Sus scrofa: one gene and its partner. The main gene of each other region encodes a partner of the protein of the gene in region 2 in a complex. Links are inferred from orthologs where the notes say so. Each region holds a gene or a part of one and is shown on either strand. Other genes may lie near its edges. The genes, in order: antileukoproteinase and ELANE.

Region 1 (8,663 bases), on a different chromosome or scaffold from region 2:
CCCTGAGTGTGGTCAAAAACACACAAAGAAAGAAAACAAAACAAAAAAATAAGGTGAAATTAATGGGGCACACGCAGTAAGATTTGATCCTCCATATAGACCTTGGGAGGCTCTCAGAGAAATCCTGCTGTCCAATTATTTGATTTTAAATAAACTAGTTAAGAATAAGCTCTAGCCAGAGTGGAAGACTGCGGAGGGACCTCACTATTCACGAGAGCTTTTGGATTTGTGATTGCCCTGTTTTTCAAGTATGTCAAAAGAGCTTTTCAGTTTGTCCCGTTCTCAACACCACATCTTCGTTGCTTCCCCAGACCAGGGATGGCTGAGTCCAGAGTTCTTCCTTTTCAATGTCTTTCTTTTCTTTTTTTAGGGCCACACCTGCAGCATATGGAAATTACCAGGCTAGGGGGCCAATCGGAGCTGTAGCTACCAGCCTACACCACAGCCACAGCAATGCCAGATCCGAACTGCGTCCGTGACCTACACCACAGCTCACCTCAATGCCGGATTCTTAACCCACCGATCAAGGCCAGGGATCGAACCCACATCCTTATGGATACTAGTCAGGTTTGTTACCCCTGAGCCACAACAGGAACTCCTCCTCCAACTTCTTAGAATGTGCCTAAGATATGGGCGTAGACCTGAAGGCCAAACTGCTCTTTGTACAGATATTAAAACGGCATCTCCCCACCTTTACAATCTGCCTCTCTATCCTACTCTTAAGTTTGGAGCCCTTTAGACATTCTACAGGGCTCCTCATAAACATCTCCTGCTGCAAATCATTAGCTTTCAAATTTCTCCAATTTGAAATTTTGATCTCAAATTCTATATTGTAGCCAGTGGGTACAATTTCTAGTTTTTACCCAAGATGGGTTTCTGTTTCTTGCTCTCCATGTCATTGGGTGTGGTTTTGGGAAGAAAAAAAAAAGAGAGAGACAGATTTGTTTTACCCCAACTTTTTTTTTTTTTCCTTAGGGCCACACCCATGGCATATGAAAGTTCCCAGGCTAGGGGTTGAATCAGAGCTGCAGCTGCCGGTCTACACCACAGCCACCACAAGACCAGATCCGAGCCGAGTCTGTGACCCACACCACAGCTCACAGCAATGCTGGATCCTTAACCCACCTAGTGGGGCCAGGGAACGAACCTGTGTTCTCATGGATACTGGTTAGGTTCGTTACCACTGAACCATAGTTGGAACTCCTACCCTAACTTTGATGCCAGAAGTACCCAGGGTGGGGGGATTATATATTCGTTTTATTTTCAAGTATTAAAGCTTGAAGATAAATCATCAGTTTCCATGGTCAAGATTCCCAGTTTCTTTCTTTCTTTCTTTTTTTTTTTGTTAGCTGCATGTTGACATTCCCAGGCCAAGGATAAAATCCACACTGCAATTGCGTGCCTGCACCACAACTGTGGCAACACCGGATCCTTAACCTGTTGCACCACAAGGGAATTTTCCCCAGTTCCATTTTTAATTCCTCTTCCATAGAGAAAGGCGTCATCCTGCATTTGGTCTGTATTCTTTGGTATATACTCATAAACCCTTGATATCTTTTGTGTGATTTAAAAAATATATATGAATACTTCATACTACATGTTTATACCACTAATCTGATTTTCTGGACAAACTTTTCTGTGGTATGTCTCCATAGATTTACATAGATTTGTATAAATTTATTTTTATTTTTCTATAGTATATCAAGATATGAAAATTTAACCATTTCACAAATAAGGGCTCTCTTGATTGTTCTCAATTTCTGACCCTTTGGAACCATCTTACAATAAACATCTTAATATACGTATTAAGTTCCCATTGGCAAATATTTTTTCTTTCTTATATATCTGGAAGGAAACTTGCTAAATTATAGCTTGTGTGAATTTTCAGTTTTATTAGGCATTCTTCTAAGTGGCTGTACCAATTTACACTTCCGTCAGCAAACTATTAGAGTCTCTGAGAGTTTATATTATAGACTTTTAATTCTTGCCATTACAATGGGTAAAAATGCTTGGCTTTTTTTTTTTTTTTCTCCTTGTGTTTTTAGGGCCACACCCGTAGCATACGGAAGTTCGCAGGCTAGGGGTTGAATCGGAGCTGCAGCTGCTGGCCTACACCACAGCCACAGCAATGCAGGATCTAAGCCTTGTCTGCGACCTACACCACAACTCATGGCAATGCCAGATCCTTAACACACCGATAGAGGCCAGGGATCAAACCCGAAACCTCATGGTTACTAGTCGGATTCGTTTCTGCTGAGCCACGACAGGAACTCCGAAAATGGTTGTTTTAATTGTCTTTTTCTTTAAAACTAGTGAGATCGAAGCTCTTTATATGTCTGTATTGGACATATACTACCTCTTCTTTGCTTATTATATTCATAATTGATTTTTCTAAGAGGTGGGCTTCTTTTCTTTTTTTTTTTCAGTCTTTCTTTTGCCTTTTCCAGGGCCGCACCCGCAGCATATGGAGGTTCCCAGGCTAGAGGTCCAATCAGAGCTATAGCTGCCAGCCTACACCACAGCCACAGCAACTTGGGATCTGAGCCGTGTCTGTGACCTACACCACAGCTCACTGAAATGCCAGATCCTTAACCTACTGAGTGAGGCCACCAGGGGTCGAACCTGCAACTTCGTGGTTCCTAGTCGGATTCATTAACCACTGTGCCACGACAGCAACTCCATGCTTTTCTTAACTAATTTGTAGAAATTCTTCACATATTTTATTTCTTTTTTTTTTTTCCCTGAATTTTTTTTTTTTTTTTTTTTTTTTTTTTTGGCCACGCCAGCAGCATGCAGAAGTTCTGGAGCCAGGGATTAAAACTGCACCACAGCAGTGACCTGAGTCAAAGCAGTGACAATGCTGGATCCTTAACCCACTGAGCAAGGCCAGGGATTGAACCCGAAACCTCACAGCTCCTAGTCAGATTCGTTAACCACTGAACCACGACGGGAACTCCCAGATATGGTCTTCTTTATCTTACCCCTCATATCCTAGACCAGACTCAATGAATCAAGGAAGATGGAATTTCAGAGAAAACCTTGAGCATTTATTTATTTGCCAATCAACAGACATTTCCTGCCATGTACCAAACTTCACGTTGGATACTGGGAATACACAGGTAAAATATCCAAAACTTGGCCCCCAACGAAGTATAGGTCACAAAGCCACATCTTCACCAAGGTGTTTTCATTTTTTTCAGGCTTGGGGAAAAAAGAAATCCCCAGACCACATGGACCGGAAAGTCCTAACCGTATTGAACTGGCAAGGATACATCTGAGGAGAGAAAATAAAGCAGAGCCTCAGCACAGGAGCAATATAAGTGAGCCTTCTCTGTTTCCCACCAAGAAGGTCCTTCTGCCACCAGACTAAATTCCTTGGGATAAGTAGGGAGAGAGCATGGTGCTGGAATAGTTGAAATGATGCTGGTCTTTGATCTAGAAATTGGGGGGAAAAAATCCAGGCTTTTCACTGACACTACACTGCAGTCTTTCTTCTGGTAAATCCAAGGCACTGGGCCAGAGCTACATCTGTACCTCTTACTAGTTTTCTGTGGTTGCAGATAACACAGCCAATTGGGGCCATAACCAAAGCAACATTCTTCCAATGCACACAGCACTTCAAGTCTTAAAAAGCACTTTTACACTTAGTATTTCTGTGGATAAAATCGTGCCCATTTTACAGATGGGGAAACTGAGGCTAAGAAAAAGATAGAGTCAGTTTCTCATAGTCATACGTTCAGTCAGAGGCAGAGATGCCATTAAACAATAGACCTTTTGCCCCTTGTATCATGACTTCTTCCTCCTGGCTTATTCCAAAAATCCTTCTTTCCCCAGGACCCAACTGGACCTGTCACAGATGACCTTCAGGGCTTCTTATCTAGAGAACTCTAGGGAGTGAAGGATGTTGAGGGGCAGAGGATCTGCTTGATGGAATGAGCAGTCCTGGGAGACATCAAGCATCCTCCTTCACATGCAAGGGCCCCAGGAGGGTGAGACTATAGGATCCAGGGGGCATGTGGATCTTGCCAGATCTTCTCCTTACCTTTTACCGGCTGGACACATATGTTCCCACATATACCCTTGCAGCACTTGAGACCATTCAGGCAGTTGCTGTCATTCTGGCAGTGGTCTATGGGGTTGAGCATCTTGCACTGGCCAGTGACCACTGGACACTTCCCAGGATTGATCTTAACTGGTAAAAACAAGGCCACAACTTCACTTCCTGGACATCACTCAAGCTCCCACCCTGATCCTATGCATGGAAACAGTTCTTCCTCAACCTCAGGACCCAAACTAAGGCCAGTGCATGTCCTAAAGGAGATTCCTCCCCACCAAGGGCGCCCCAACCAGTGCTTTCAGTGTCTAACAGACAGACTGATTCATTAATTGATTGACTGGTTAGCTGGTTGACGGGCTCACCAACTGACCCACTGCCTACCTGAGAATACAGAGCTAGGGGTGGAGGAGCCTTGGCTCTGCCCCACCCTCCAGCCCAGTTCAGAGGAGCCCCCTCCACTTTTTCAAGATGCATGTCCTCAAGTTCAAATCTCCCAGGTCTCCCTTCTTAGGACTCTACTTCCTCACCTGACTTTGATGGGTTTACAGGATCCAAGCATTTGATGCCACAAGTGTCACGGCAGCATTTTTTCCTCTTTGGACACTGCCAGTCATTCTGGCATTCAGGGGGTTCATATACCAGGCACATTGCAGGGCGTATGAAGGGGCAGGATCCACGTTTAGTTTTTCCTGAAGGGTAACAACAAAGGAGGAAGAAACAGCTGAGGTTGAGTCATGACCACAGTCCTGGACAAGGGACCAGCTTCCCAGGAGAGGAGAGAAAACCCAACCCAGGAGGCTGACCCCAAAGGAATGAAAGGAGCCATTAGGATTCCAGTTTCAAGGCAAGGGTGGAGCAGTGCCAAACTCAGCCAACCACTCAACCAAAAGAGAGACAATGGCACAAAAGAGAAAGGTATGGATGACCGTGTGCTGCTGGATGTTTTAAGAGGGAGACTTTGCAGCATCTGCAGACTCCCATGGTATAAACAGTCCCACCGTGGCTAATTTCAAGCTACCAATGGGACATCAACTAGCTCTCATAAATCTTGCAGATTTTACAGCCAGCCGTTTGAAGCCAGCATAAACCAGCTCCAGTAAGTGGCTGAATAGAGCCCATGAACAAATGCTCCAGGCCCAGGGCTGGCTGGGAGGGAGAAAGAGAAGGGCAGTGAGAGCAGCAGAGGCAACGCATCAGAGATTAAACAAAAGAAAAAAGATCCACTGAGAAGCACATCGAGAAAGTGAGTGACCATTAAGCAAGAAACATTAAGAGAAAAAGACAACAATTTAAAACATTAAAACAGATAGAGACCAAATTAACATGGCAGGAAAGAAGAAGAATAATAAAAAAACACAGTAAAGAAGGTTCTATAGAGAAAGAAAAATAAGAAATACGGGAGTTGGAATAAACAAGTCCATCTGATAAAAGGTAGATTTTTAGCAACTTTCTTAGCTGAAGTCCTCAGAGAGAAGCTTGAAATTAGGGGGCATAGGCCAGACCATTGGAAAGATGCCTTGACGGTCAGCTCCCAGTCTCAAAAGAAGAGGCTGTTCGCACAATGAGCCACCACTGACTGTGGTACCTGGACGTGGCTTTAAAGACTCCGACTCCTCTTCGCCAGCCCCTTTCACAGCCCAGGACGTCAGGAATCCAGAGGCAAATATCACCAGGAAGATGAAAAGGCTGCTGGGCTTCATCGTGAGGGCAGGTGGGGCTGTGGTGGCCTGTGGCAGCTTCCCCCTTTATACCTCCTCCTATGGGTGCGGTTCCCCTCAGAATTGCCTTGAACCCTCCCAGCTGCTATTTCATAAGCAGGAAATTTGGGTGAGGACTGTGACCCCATAGTGTTTATGGCTCTTTTCTGCCCTTAGGCAAGAGCCTGAGGCCCGGGAAGGGAAATGGAGGACTTGGAGGGGGAGGTGTCACCAGGCTGGTCAGGATGCCATTCTGGGACACCTTAGGGGACCCTGCACCACCCACCTTTGGGGTGGAGTAGGGAGGGGCAAAGAGGGCAGAACAGAAAGACATGGCAAAGGAGCTTCTTTGAAGCCTGGAACAGTCAGCAAGCTGGGGCCTCTCAAAGTGTCCTGATTTTGCCACACTCCTGGGCTCTTGGGGATTGCCACATTCGCTGCGAAATCACCACCGCCCGGAGTCACTCCCTTCCCCAAACATCAGGTGACTTTTCTCTCACTCTCTCCTGACCTGTTTTGATGTACTACCTACAGGGCAGTCACACAGAGAAGCCTTGATGAATGACAGGTGAGGAGGGGACAGCAGTCGAAACCGTTTTGGGCCCCAGCCTTCCCAGCTGTGAAGTGGGCATGATCGTGGCTGACTGAGTCACTCAGGAGGATTCGAGTCAAAGAGGGTGGAAGGACAGTGAAGCATGAGCAACTACCGCTTAGCTCTGCGGCCAGAAATGAAATCGGTGTGAAGGGAATCACATTTGAGTTACTTTTTTTAAAAAATTTTTTTGGGGTCTTTTTTTGTCTTTTCTAGGGCCGCACCTGCAGCATATTGAGGTTCCCAGGCTAGGGGTTGAATCGGAGCTGTGGCTTCCAGCCTACGCCACTGCCACGGCAACGCCAGATCCGAGCCATGTCTGTGGCCTACACCACAGCTCATGGCAATGCCGGATCCTTAACCCACTGAGCAAGGCCCAGGATTGAACCTGCAACCTCATGGTTCCTAGTCAGATTCGTGAACCCCTAAGCCATGACGGGAACTCCACATTTGAGCTACTTTTCTTGAGATAAACCGATGGGGCTCTTTTTAGCAGTCAGGGAAATAGCCAGTTAAGAGGGGTTGCCATTTAACATACTCAAAAAATTCTCTCACACCCCCAAATTACCCCCACTGCTCTTTCATGATTATAATGGACTTTTATTGGACCATGGCTACATGGTGAGAAGTTCGTATAGGACAGTTCTAAACAGGAAGTTCTAAATATCAAAAGGAAACCTATTAAGTCAGAAGGAGAAAGACAAATGCCACATGATATCACTTATACCTGGAATCTAATATACGGCACAAATGAACCTAGCAACAGAAATAAACAAGCTCATGGACATGGAGAACAGACTTGTGGTTGCCGGGCGGGGGGAGAGACTGGGCGTTTGGGGTTAGTAGATGCAAGCTGTTTCATTTGGGGGTGGATAAGAAGTGAGAGTCAGCTGTATAGCACAGGGAACTCTATCTGATCACTTGTGGTGGAAGATGATGGAGGAAAATGTGACAAAAACGAAAGAATAGGGATGCATGGCTGGGTCACTTTGCTGTGCCAGAAACTGACAGAACATTGTAAATCAAGTATGATCAAATATTTTTTAAAAAGGGGGCCTATTAAGGTGAAACCAAGAAAAAAATGCACAAAATACAGAAAATAGAATGTAGAGGAGGAAAAGGGAGTCCCCATGATGCTGGTGACAGACCATCTCAGAGTGACAGCTGAGTGCCAGAAATACAGACAGGACAAACTAGCAGTTACAGTGGGGAGAGGGGTTGGGGGGAGGGGCAAAAAGGGGTAGAGGATTAAGAGGCATAAACTATTATGTGTAAAATAAGCTACAAGGCTGTATTTTACTACACAGGGAACATAGCTCATATTCTATAACCATAAGAGGAGTATACCACTTAAAACTGTGAATACTGTCTTGTACCCCTGTAACATGTAATATTTTACATCAATGACAACAAAAAACGTTTTTTTAGGGGTTCCCTTGTGGAGTAGCTGGTTAAATACTTGGCATTGACACTGCAGCAGCCCAGGTTGCTGCTGTGGTGAGGGTTTAGATCCTTGGCCCAGGAATTTCTGCATGTGGCCCCCCAAAAAATTTTAAAGACACTCAAGGAGAAAAAAAATAAAAATAAAAGCATTGTAATTCTCTTTTATTTTTTATTTTTTGTCTTTTCTAGGGCCGTACCTGCGGCATATGGAGGTTCTCAGACTAGGGGTCCAATCGGAGCTGTAGCCACCAGCCTACGCCAGAGCCACAGCAACGTGGGATCCGAGCCGAGTCTGCGACCTACACCACAGCTCAAGGCAACGCTGGATCCTTAACCCACTGAGCAAGGCTGGGGATTGAACCCGAAACCTCGTCATTCCTAGTCGGATTCGTTAACCACGGAGCCACGACGGGAACTCCTATTTTTTATTTTTTAAATACTTATTGAATGTTATTACATTTATAGGTGTACAACATCATCGCAACCAAATTTTACAGCATGTACATCCCTTTAATTCTCTTTTTAAAAGAAGAAGAAACAAAAAATAAAAAACAAAAAAACCCCCAGAGCTACCAGCCCAGATTGGAGGAGGTCAGAGGGCTCCAGGAACTTCATCTTCTGGAAGGTGAAATTAAAGGAATATCTGGCACATATGAATACACAACAAGGAGATATAGGCAACTGGTGCAGAGTTTGTGGTTGAATAGGTGATATGTACACGGAAAACCAAGCAAGTACAAAACTACACAATCTTTTCACATCAGAAAAAAAGTTAAAAGTTATACCAGGAGTTCCCGTCGTGGCTCAGCAGAAATGAATCGGACTAGTATCCATGAGGACGCAGGTTCGATCCCTGGCCTTGTTAAGTGGGTTA
Region 2 (8,412 bases):
TTGCTCCCAGCCTGGGCTTTCTGTTGTAGAACCAGAGGCTCTCTGAACTCACTAGATTCAAAGTTTTGAGAATTGCTTGGTTTTCAGAGCCTTCTGTTCATGTGGACCCTGCCCCCTCTCTGCCCACCTAGTGGGGCTGGAGGGCCATCCTCTTGAGCGGAGGGGTCCATGGCTGACTGCGCTGCAGGCTAGGGGCCCCCAGCTGGCACCCCAGTCCCGGGTCCACTCACCACATACAGCTGCTCCGAGGAGGATCAGGGCTGCCAGGTGCCCGGAGCGGTCTGCCATGATGCTGCTGTGGCCTCAACAATGGCCCAGGGCAGGGCTCTGGGGTTCTTTTATGAGGGTGGAACGGGGTGGGGGGGGAGCTCCCACAGGTCCTATCTGCCAAGTGGGCAGTGGCCCAGCTGAACAAAGGGAAGCCGTCCACGCCCTTCTCTCCCCCCACTTCCCCCGCCACAGTGCTGTGATTATCTTCCCCTAGACTTTGTACCAAGAGTAGATGGGCTGCTGGACCTGCCTGCCACCTCTGTCATTCTGTGGGAAGAGCCCCTCAGGATGGGCGGTGGGCAGAGCAGAGGGATGGACCCACCCACCCACCCACCCTGACCCCCAGCCCAGTCTCCCAGAGTGCCCTTCCAGCCCCAGAGTTTCGCAACAGCAGCTGGAGAGCAAGCCCAGTTTGTAAACAACCCACTTCCTCATTTTCTGCCCCTCCCTTCTTTCCCTTCCTCCTGCAACTTGGAGCTGAGGTCGGGTGGGGGGGAAGGTCATCCAACGCCCTTGTCCACATTGCTGTGACTCTGGGGCTTGACACCCTTTAAGTAGAATATTGTTGATGAGTAGGGACAGCTGGAAAGACTGTTGCATACAAGTGACAAAAAAATGGAGTGTAAGGGGCTGGAACCTTCAACAAGAAAATTTAAATGGAAAGTTTATGGGTCTACCTTCAGGTGTAGCTTAATCCAGGCACCTGAACAATGTTTTGTTTCTTTTTTTCCTCCTTGATGGGTTGTCTCCTCAGCAGTCTCCCCTGTTGTGGCCTCAGGGGCCCTAGACTCAGACCAATGGCCCAGTTATTCCCTCTGCCAATTCCCCATCACTCTAGCCAGCATCTCAAGGCGGCCTCTGATTGGTTGAGTTTGGATCTCATGCCCCTAAAGCAGCCATTGTGGGTTGGCAGGTTCTGATGAGCAGAACCTGGGTCACATGGTTCTCTGTAAGCTGGGGATGGTGGGTCAACATCTCATGAACCTCTTCGGGGGAGATGCTGTGTGTAACCACAAGGGTGGGGAGGACCGTGAACGTCCCCAGGAGGAACAGTGCATGGTATTTTCTCCTTTCCTTCTTTTTTCTTCATGGTGGACCATTTCACACATACAGAGAAAAATAGAAAACAGCATAACAAATGCAATTTGTTAGACCCTAAAATGTTTCCTTGCTCAAATCAGAAACTCTAAAACAAAAGCCCATTGGAATGTGGAGTGCAGATTATGTAAGTAAAAGGATTGGAAATTGCAGCAAAATTTGGAAATTACCCAAAAAGACAGAATGGTTCAGTAAATAACCCTGCAGATCCTGGGATGCTTTGTTGACATGGAAAGACCGCCAAGATATCGTATTAAGTGGAAAAAGCAGTTGTAGGGCAGTGGGTCACCTGCCTGAGCAGCTGGCCCTTGTGGGGAGAGGTGTTCTGAGGACAACCTTAGGGAGAAGCTGGAAGGCAGAGGGAACAGCACTAGTTAAGACCCTGAGGTGTCCCAAGGCAAAAGGTTGGGGAAGTGGAGGAAGGATTGTTTCCGTACCCAGTGAGGCCGAGACTGGCCTGGACCCCAACCCCTGATTGGGTCCTCCCCAGACAGTGCCTCAGTCTTCCCCATGGGGAACTGAGAATCAGAGAAACAGTGAGCAATTTGCCCAAAGTCACAGAGCTGGGACTCGAACCCAGGCCCTGGAGCATGACTTTACAGTTCTTTGCATCTCTACTTCCTCGCCTGTAAAACAAGGCACTTATATAAGAACTACTTTAGGGGCTGGAGCCAGAAACAGATGAGTGAAGATTGCAAAGATTCAGAATGATCCTTGTGACTCAGAATGAACACCTGCTATAGTGCTTTGCATTCTTGCCACCTGCAACAAGAGTCTAATGACATTTTATAGGAGGGGAAGCCAGAAACGGCTACTGGTATCCTTTAGTGAAGTATGAGGAAGGGACTTTTTATCTTGGTGCACTAAATTTGCTGCTACTTGGTAGCAGCGTACTTGTGACATGCTCAAGACATTCACCTGAGGACTTCTGACACTCAGTTGCACAACCAACAAACACCCAGGCACATTCTACAAAACAGGGTTTTTATTGTGTCAGATGCTGCATGATGCTGCATGGGAAGAGCCCAGCCGGGGGGAGTGGGGTAACAGGGGCCGCCTTTCTAGAGGGTCCTGCCCACAGGGATCCTGGGGTGGAGAGGCGGGCTGTCATTATCACCATAGCGTCGGATAATGGAGTTGATCCAGTCTGCAAACTTGGCGGTGGAGGCAAAGGTGTCTGGGAAGAGCCCAGAGCCACAGCCCCCCCGGATGAAGGAATCTATCCCCTGGACCAGCCCATTGCAGACCAAGGGCCCGCCGGAGTCCCCCTGTGGAAGCAGACAAGTTTGGGAGGCTGGGCTTTCAGGCCCCACCCTAACATCCCCACCCACTGCCCTTCAGGAGCTGGAAGTTCTTCCAGGGGTCTTGGTTGCTGCAGCCTGGGTGGGAGCAAGGGGTGGGTTGTGGGAACGCAAGATACGTACAAAGCAGATGCCAGCCTGCCGGCCTGGTACCAGGGTGCACACATTGGTGGGGCGGCAGAGGGCTGTCACCACAGTCACATTGAGCTGCTGCAGGACTCGGGGCGGTGGCCGGTTCGTGCCCAGCTGGCCCCAGCCCATGGCCAGACATCGCACCCCTTCCCCCACGCCTTGGTCCTGAGCAGGTAGCTGGGCCACCTGCACGTTGCTATTGATGAAGGCAAATCTGTTGAGCTGCAGCAGGTTGTACAGAGCAGTGGCAGGTCACAGGAGGCAGTGAACAACAACCTTCATCTTTCTGGGCCCCAAGTTTTCCCCCACCCAGGGCTCCACCATGGTCCTGGGATATCTGAGAGCCAGATATCCACCCTGCAGGATGGTTCCCACCCTTTCCTGTTTGTAAAGTGCGAGCAGCCACTGTGACCCAGGGCATCCCCAGACATGTTTTGAGTCCAGTAAACAGTAGGTACTCAAGAAAACAAAACTATGGGTAACACCACCAGCAATAAAGCCATTGTTCTAGAACTTTACAGAAAATAACCATAGCTATTCAAGCAGTGGGGAAGGACAGTTCTCTCCCTCCAGTCTCCTATTCACATGAACGTGGAGAATTTTGACCCTATTTCCACGGACCAAGAGGTCCCTGCGCCTCATCCCTGTGGGCTCCAGAAATACTATCCTTATTGATTGACAGTTGCTCAGAGCTTCCCTGCTGTCCTGGCATCTGACTTATTTCCGTCTCACAGAGGGGAAGACTGAAGCACAGAGAGATGGGACACCAGGCCTGTCCTCACCGTGTCCCCAGTCTCCTGCCCATGCTCCGCCCTCCCCAAACTAAGCTGGGCCTTTGCACCTGCCAGTTCTTCCCCACCCGCGCCTCGCACCTGGAGAACCACAATGTCGTTCCGCAGGGTCATGGGGTCGAAGCCGTTTTCAAAGACCCGCTGGATTCTGAACTTCTGCCTGGTGGACTCGCCCCGTCGCAGGTTGTGTGCCCCCAGAACCACGCGCACGGACCGAAAGTTTCTGGGGCAGGAGGAGGCGATTGAGTCGTCACCCGTGCGGGCGCAGGGGTCCCATAGAGCCGCGCACCTCGGCCGAGGCCCCCAGCCCCGGCCCCGCGAAAACTGGAAACTGAGGTTGCGGGGGTGGGGGTACACTCACAAGCCGTTCAGACAGTGCGCGGCCGACAGGACGAAGTTCCGCGCTATGAGGGTGCCGCCGCAGAAGTGGCTTCCGCGCCGCTGCAGGGACGCCATGAAGGGCCATGCATGTGGCCTGGCCGGCCGGCCCCCCACGATTTCCGAGGCCAGCGCGGGGCCTGGGGGCGCAGGCGGTGGGGGCGGTGAGCCGCGCGGAGGAGCCCCGCCAAGGTCAGTCGGCCAGTGAACCCCCACAAGGCAGCCACCCTGTCCCTAGAGGGGAGTGGCCTGCATGGTCCCCCTGCAGGGCGCAGCTAGAGCTTTAGACTTCACCCACTTCGAGTCCCCGGAGGGTGCCTAGAGACCCCCACCTTCCCACCTTCGAGTCCCGGGGGGGTGCCTAGAGACCCCACCTTCCCACCTTCGAGTCCCCGGGGGGTGCCTAGAGACCCCCACCTTCCCACCTCACCCCAACTGTCACTCCCCATGAGGATGAGGGACCAAGAAGGTGCAGAGTAAGAGGAGAGGCAGGACTGGATGCCCTTAGGAGACCTGCATGGCCCCACTCACCGCCCAGCAGCAGGGTCAGTAGGACCGGGGCCAGGGCAGGGCTGGAGGGTCTGCAGCTCTGGGTCATGATTGGGCTGGGGCAGCAGTGACTCTGCTCTTGGAATCCCCTTGCCCCTCTTATAACCCCCCTGCCTCGAGGCCGTTGAGGTTGCCCCATGGTGGGGCCAGGTGCCCCCACTTCCTCTCCGCCCTCTCCCAGTGCAGGGGATATGGGGGATGAGGGAGTGGTGGGAAGAATCCGGGAGGAGGACGGGAGCAGGGGGTCAGGCTGGCTCCAGAAGGTCACCAGATAAAACTCAGGACGCACAATACAATTGGAATGTCAGATAAACTTTTTTTTTTTTTAAGTGTAAGTATATCCCAAATATTGCACAGCATATACTGATCTATATAAAGTCAGTCTTTATCTTTCCAACATTCAGAATTAATGAGCTTCCTGTGTTTTTGCTAAATCTCCCCAACCTAGGCCCAAAGGACTTGGCTGGGATGCCCACGTGCCTTGGTTTACCCAGGTCCCTGTAATAATGGCAGCCCCCCAGCACTGTCCTGACATTTGGGAGGCATGGCAGGGCCTGCTGGGTCCCCATTTAAGAGGGGGAAACTGAGGCACAGTGAGCCACCATCCCCACCCCCTCCGCCCCTGCAAACCACCTACCCAGTGATGTGGTGGGGGAACTGGGGTTCAAACTCAGATGTCCACAGGTCACAGCAGGAAGGTAACTTGCTACCTCCTCTTCCAGCCTTGGGTCTCTCTCTTGGGGCCTGATTTCCATCTTTTCTTTGGTTGTGGCTCCTAACAGGGAACTCACTGCCACCCAAGGCTCAGTCTCTGGTGGCCCTCAGAGGTTCTGGGACACCCCCACCCCCTGCTTTGAGCTTCTCTGAAGCCACTTCCAGCCTGAGGCAGTGGAAAAAAAATTCCCACCCAGGCCTGGCAGCTGGACCATGGCTCTCCATCCAAGTTTGAGAGCTTTGGCCAGACCTTGGAAGAACTTAAGCCAACAGTAGAGATGGGGTCCGTCAGGGCCAGTCCCCAGCCCAGGGGCCCCTGTTCCCCTTCCCACCTCCCCCCGGCGGCTGCTCCAGCTGCAACGGCCATAGCCAAGGCTGTCGCAAGAAGCAACGTTCTCCTGGCTTGGAGCAGGGTTCAGGGGAGGGAACCAACGGATCCATCTGCAGAAACAGGCAGGCGGGGGCACCCAGGGATGCCCAGAAGCAGGCTGGGGCTGAAGTCCAGTTTGTCCCTGGGCCCCCTTGGTGTGTGGCCACAGGCAGGTGAACCCCCATCTCTCTCCAGTACACAGCAGACGCTCAGTGTCCACCCTTCGTCCCTCCCCTGGGCTGAGGCACATCAGCCCGTCTCAGCTCCCTTCCTTCTCGATTGAGTTACAGCCACCATAGAGCACATGTTATTTATTTTTTCAATGATGATTTTTATTTTTTCCATCATAGCTGGTTTACAGTGTTCTGTCAATTTTCTACTGTACATCAAGTTGACAGTTACACATAACATATATACATACTTTTTTCTCATTATCATGCTCCATTGTAAGTGGCTAGATATAATTCCCAGTGCTATACAGCAGGATCCCATAGAGCACTTGTTAAACGCCTGCTGCATACACAACCTGTTTCCAATCTTGGGGTGGGGCAGGATGGAGGAGGTCCAGACTTTGGGGGATGCGCTTCAGGCAGGGATATTTAACCAAAGCTGCTTCTATTGAGCACCACCTGTATACTCCATTCTCAGTGGTTATAGAGGTTAAGCACCTGGCTTCTGGGTTCAGAGGGTGGCGTGGCCACTTGCCCACCATGACTTCATGCTACAGACAACTCCGTGCCTTGGTTTCCTCATCTGTAAAATGAAAGTGGTGATAGGAGTTCCTGGTGTGGCTCAGTCGTAACGAACCCGACTAGTATCCATGAGGACGCGGGTTCCATCCCTGGCCCCCTTCAGTGGGTTGAGGATCCGGTGTTGCTCTGAGCTGTGGTATAGGTCATAGACACAGTTCAGATCCCGTGTTGCTGTGACTGTGGCATAGGTTGGCAGCTGCAGCTCTGATTCAGCTTTTTAGCCTGGAAACTTCCATATGCTGCAGGTGCAGCCCTGAAAAGCAAAAAAAAAAAAAAAAAAGTAAAACAGAAGTGATGATAATCAGTCGCCAACTCACAGGATTGTCCCAGGATTAAATGAATGAACTTTTGTGAAGTTCTTCAGTAAGAAAGTGAGGTCCTTGAGGGTCTGTTAACCATTAACCACCCCCTGGAGGGCAGGGCCAGGCGTCTGGGGGAGCCTGATTCACCATCAGAGTGTGATGACGAAGTGGCGGCACCTCACTTGATCTTTGTTAAAGGAAAACGACACTCTGAGTGTCCTTCCCACTGCTGGAGGCCAGGAGACCCCGGAGCTGTGGGGAGTGGCCCTGCTCTCCCCAAACATCCTGTTTATTATTTTTTTTCTTTCTTTTTTTTTTTTTTTTTGATTTTTAGGGCTGCACCCGTGGCATATGGAGGTTCCCAGGCTAGGGGTCTAATTGGAGCTACAGCTGCCGGCCTACACCACAGCCACAGCAACGTCATGTCTGAACTGTGTCTGTGACCAACATCACGCACACAGCTCATGGCAATGTCGGATCCTTAACCCACTGAGCAAGGCCAGGGATCAAATCCACAACCTCATAGTTCCTAGTTGGATTTGTTTCTGCTGCGCCATGAGGGAACTCCTGTTTATTATTTCTATTTATTATTTCTGTGGATTTGTCCTTCCCTGAATCTGCAGAACCCCAGCAAATCCACCCGTGGCTCCAGAGCCCCCAACCTTAGCTCCCCTTCTTGGGTGTGATCTTTTTTATTTTTGTGGCCCCACCTGGGGCATATGGAAGTTCCCCGGCCAGGGATTGAATCCAAGCCACAGCTGCATGCCAGATCCTTAACCCACTGTGCAGGGGATCTGAACCCATGCCTCAGCAGCTGCCCCAGCCACTGTCATCAGCTTCTTAACCCACTGTGCCATGGTAGGAACTCCTTGGGTCTGATCTTTGCTGGACAGAACTTTTCCTCTGACTCATCATATTCTCTCTCTCTCTCACACACACACACAAGCACACACGCACGCACATCTTTGCTGGGCAGAACTTTCCTGACTCATCATTCTCTCTCTCTCTCACATACACACACACACTCACACATATTACACACACACACGCTGATGGAAAATAGAAAACACCCAGGGCTGTTTTGTCTGAGTCTTTGAGTTCCCATCAATGGCCTCAATCCAACATTCCCTCCAGCAAACCTCATTTACCCCCATTGCTGGGCACCAGAAGTCCCCCTGGGCTTTTTATAGCTATCACTTCCCGCCTTAAGCCCATGGGAAATGTGGGGAATTCCCAGCATTCCCCAACACTGATTGGCATACACTTCCCAGGATTCAGACTTGTCCCTCATCTCAACACATGCTAGCTCCTGATGGTGCTGTAAACCAGTCTCAGCTCCTCCCCTGGGATGGTTAGCTGAGGTGTCACAGGCCAGGGAATTCTGGCTCTTGCTTGAATTTGCACGCTGCCACCAGGTGGCAGCAGAGTAAACCTATAACAAAAGAGCTGCCTTCCAGCTCTGCTGTGTCCCTCCTGTGAGCTGGTGGGTGGGGTCCTTCTCCCTGAACCTCAGTTGCCGCATTCCCCGGCCACTTGCCTTCTCCGCAACTGGCCAATTACCCCTACCTCTGCCTGGCCTTAGCCCTCTCCTCTAGTCAGTTCATTCCAGAGCCCTGCCTGCCCTGGCCCACCCCTTCCTGACCTGCCACCTCCCTCACACAGCTTGCCTTGCTGTCCCCCACATCCCCAAGTTTGCCCTGACACAGGGCCCTTGCACTTCCTGTGCCTTGCCTGGCAAGTCTTCTCCTTTCGTTC

Evidence for each region.
Region 1: the proteins of ELANE (region 2) and antileukoproteinase are in contact, whole or in part, in a crystal structure (PDB 2Z7F), measured with the Homo sapiens proteins. The link is inferred for Sus scrofa from reciprocal best matches to the Homo sapiens genes ELANE and SLPI. Residues at the interface, in NP_001963.1 of Homo sapiens: His53, Phe54, Cys55, His70, Cys71, Asn74, Val75, Pro111, Val112, Asn113, Leu114, Leu158, Ile165, Leu180, Arg182, Val197, Cys198, Phe199, Gly200, Asp201, Ser202, Ala216, Ser217, Phe218, Val219, Arg220, Gly221; in NP_003055.1 of Homo sapiens: Tyr93, Gly94, Gln95, Cys96, Leu97, Met98, Leu99, Pro102, Phe104, Met121, Cys122.

What each region holds. Positions count from the first base shown.
Region 1 is NC_010459.5:47,576,224-47,584,886, reverse strand, and holds antileukoproteinase, read right to left. Parts: upstream 5,807-8,663; 5' UTR 5,758-5,806; coding exon 5,643-5,757; intron 4,747-5,642; coding exon 4,585-4,746; intron 4,193-4,584; coding exon 4,043-4,192; intron 3,275-4,042; coding exon 3,246-3,274; 3' UTR 3,026-3,245; downstream 1-3,025.
Region 2 is NC_010444.4:77,511,434-77,519,845, forward strand, and holds ELANE (neutrophil elastase), read right to left. Parts: upstream 4,686-8,412; 5' UTR 4,659-4,685; coding exon 4,502-4,658; exon of another isoform or gene 4,111-4,501; coding exon 3,954-4,110; exon of another isoform or gene 3,816-3,953; coding exon 3,674-3,815; exon of another isoform or gene 3,536-3,673; intron 3,024-3,535; coding exon 2,793-3,023; intron 2,637-2,792; coding exon 2,430-2,636; 3' UTR 2,336-2,429; downstream 1-2,335. Other genes in the region: CFD (complement factor D), read right to left, coding at 231-288. UniProt on the Homo sapiens protein: Serine protease that modifies the functions of natural killer cells, monocytes and granulocytes. Inhibits C5a-dependent neutrophil enzyme release and chemotaxis. Promotes cleavage of GSDMB, thereby inhibiting pyroptosis. Promotes blood coagulation.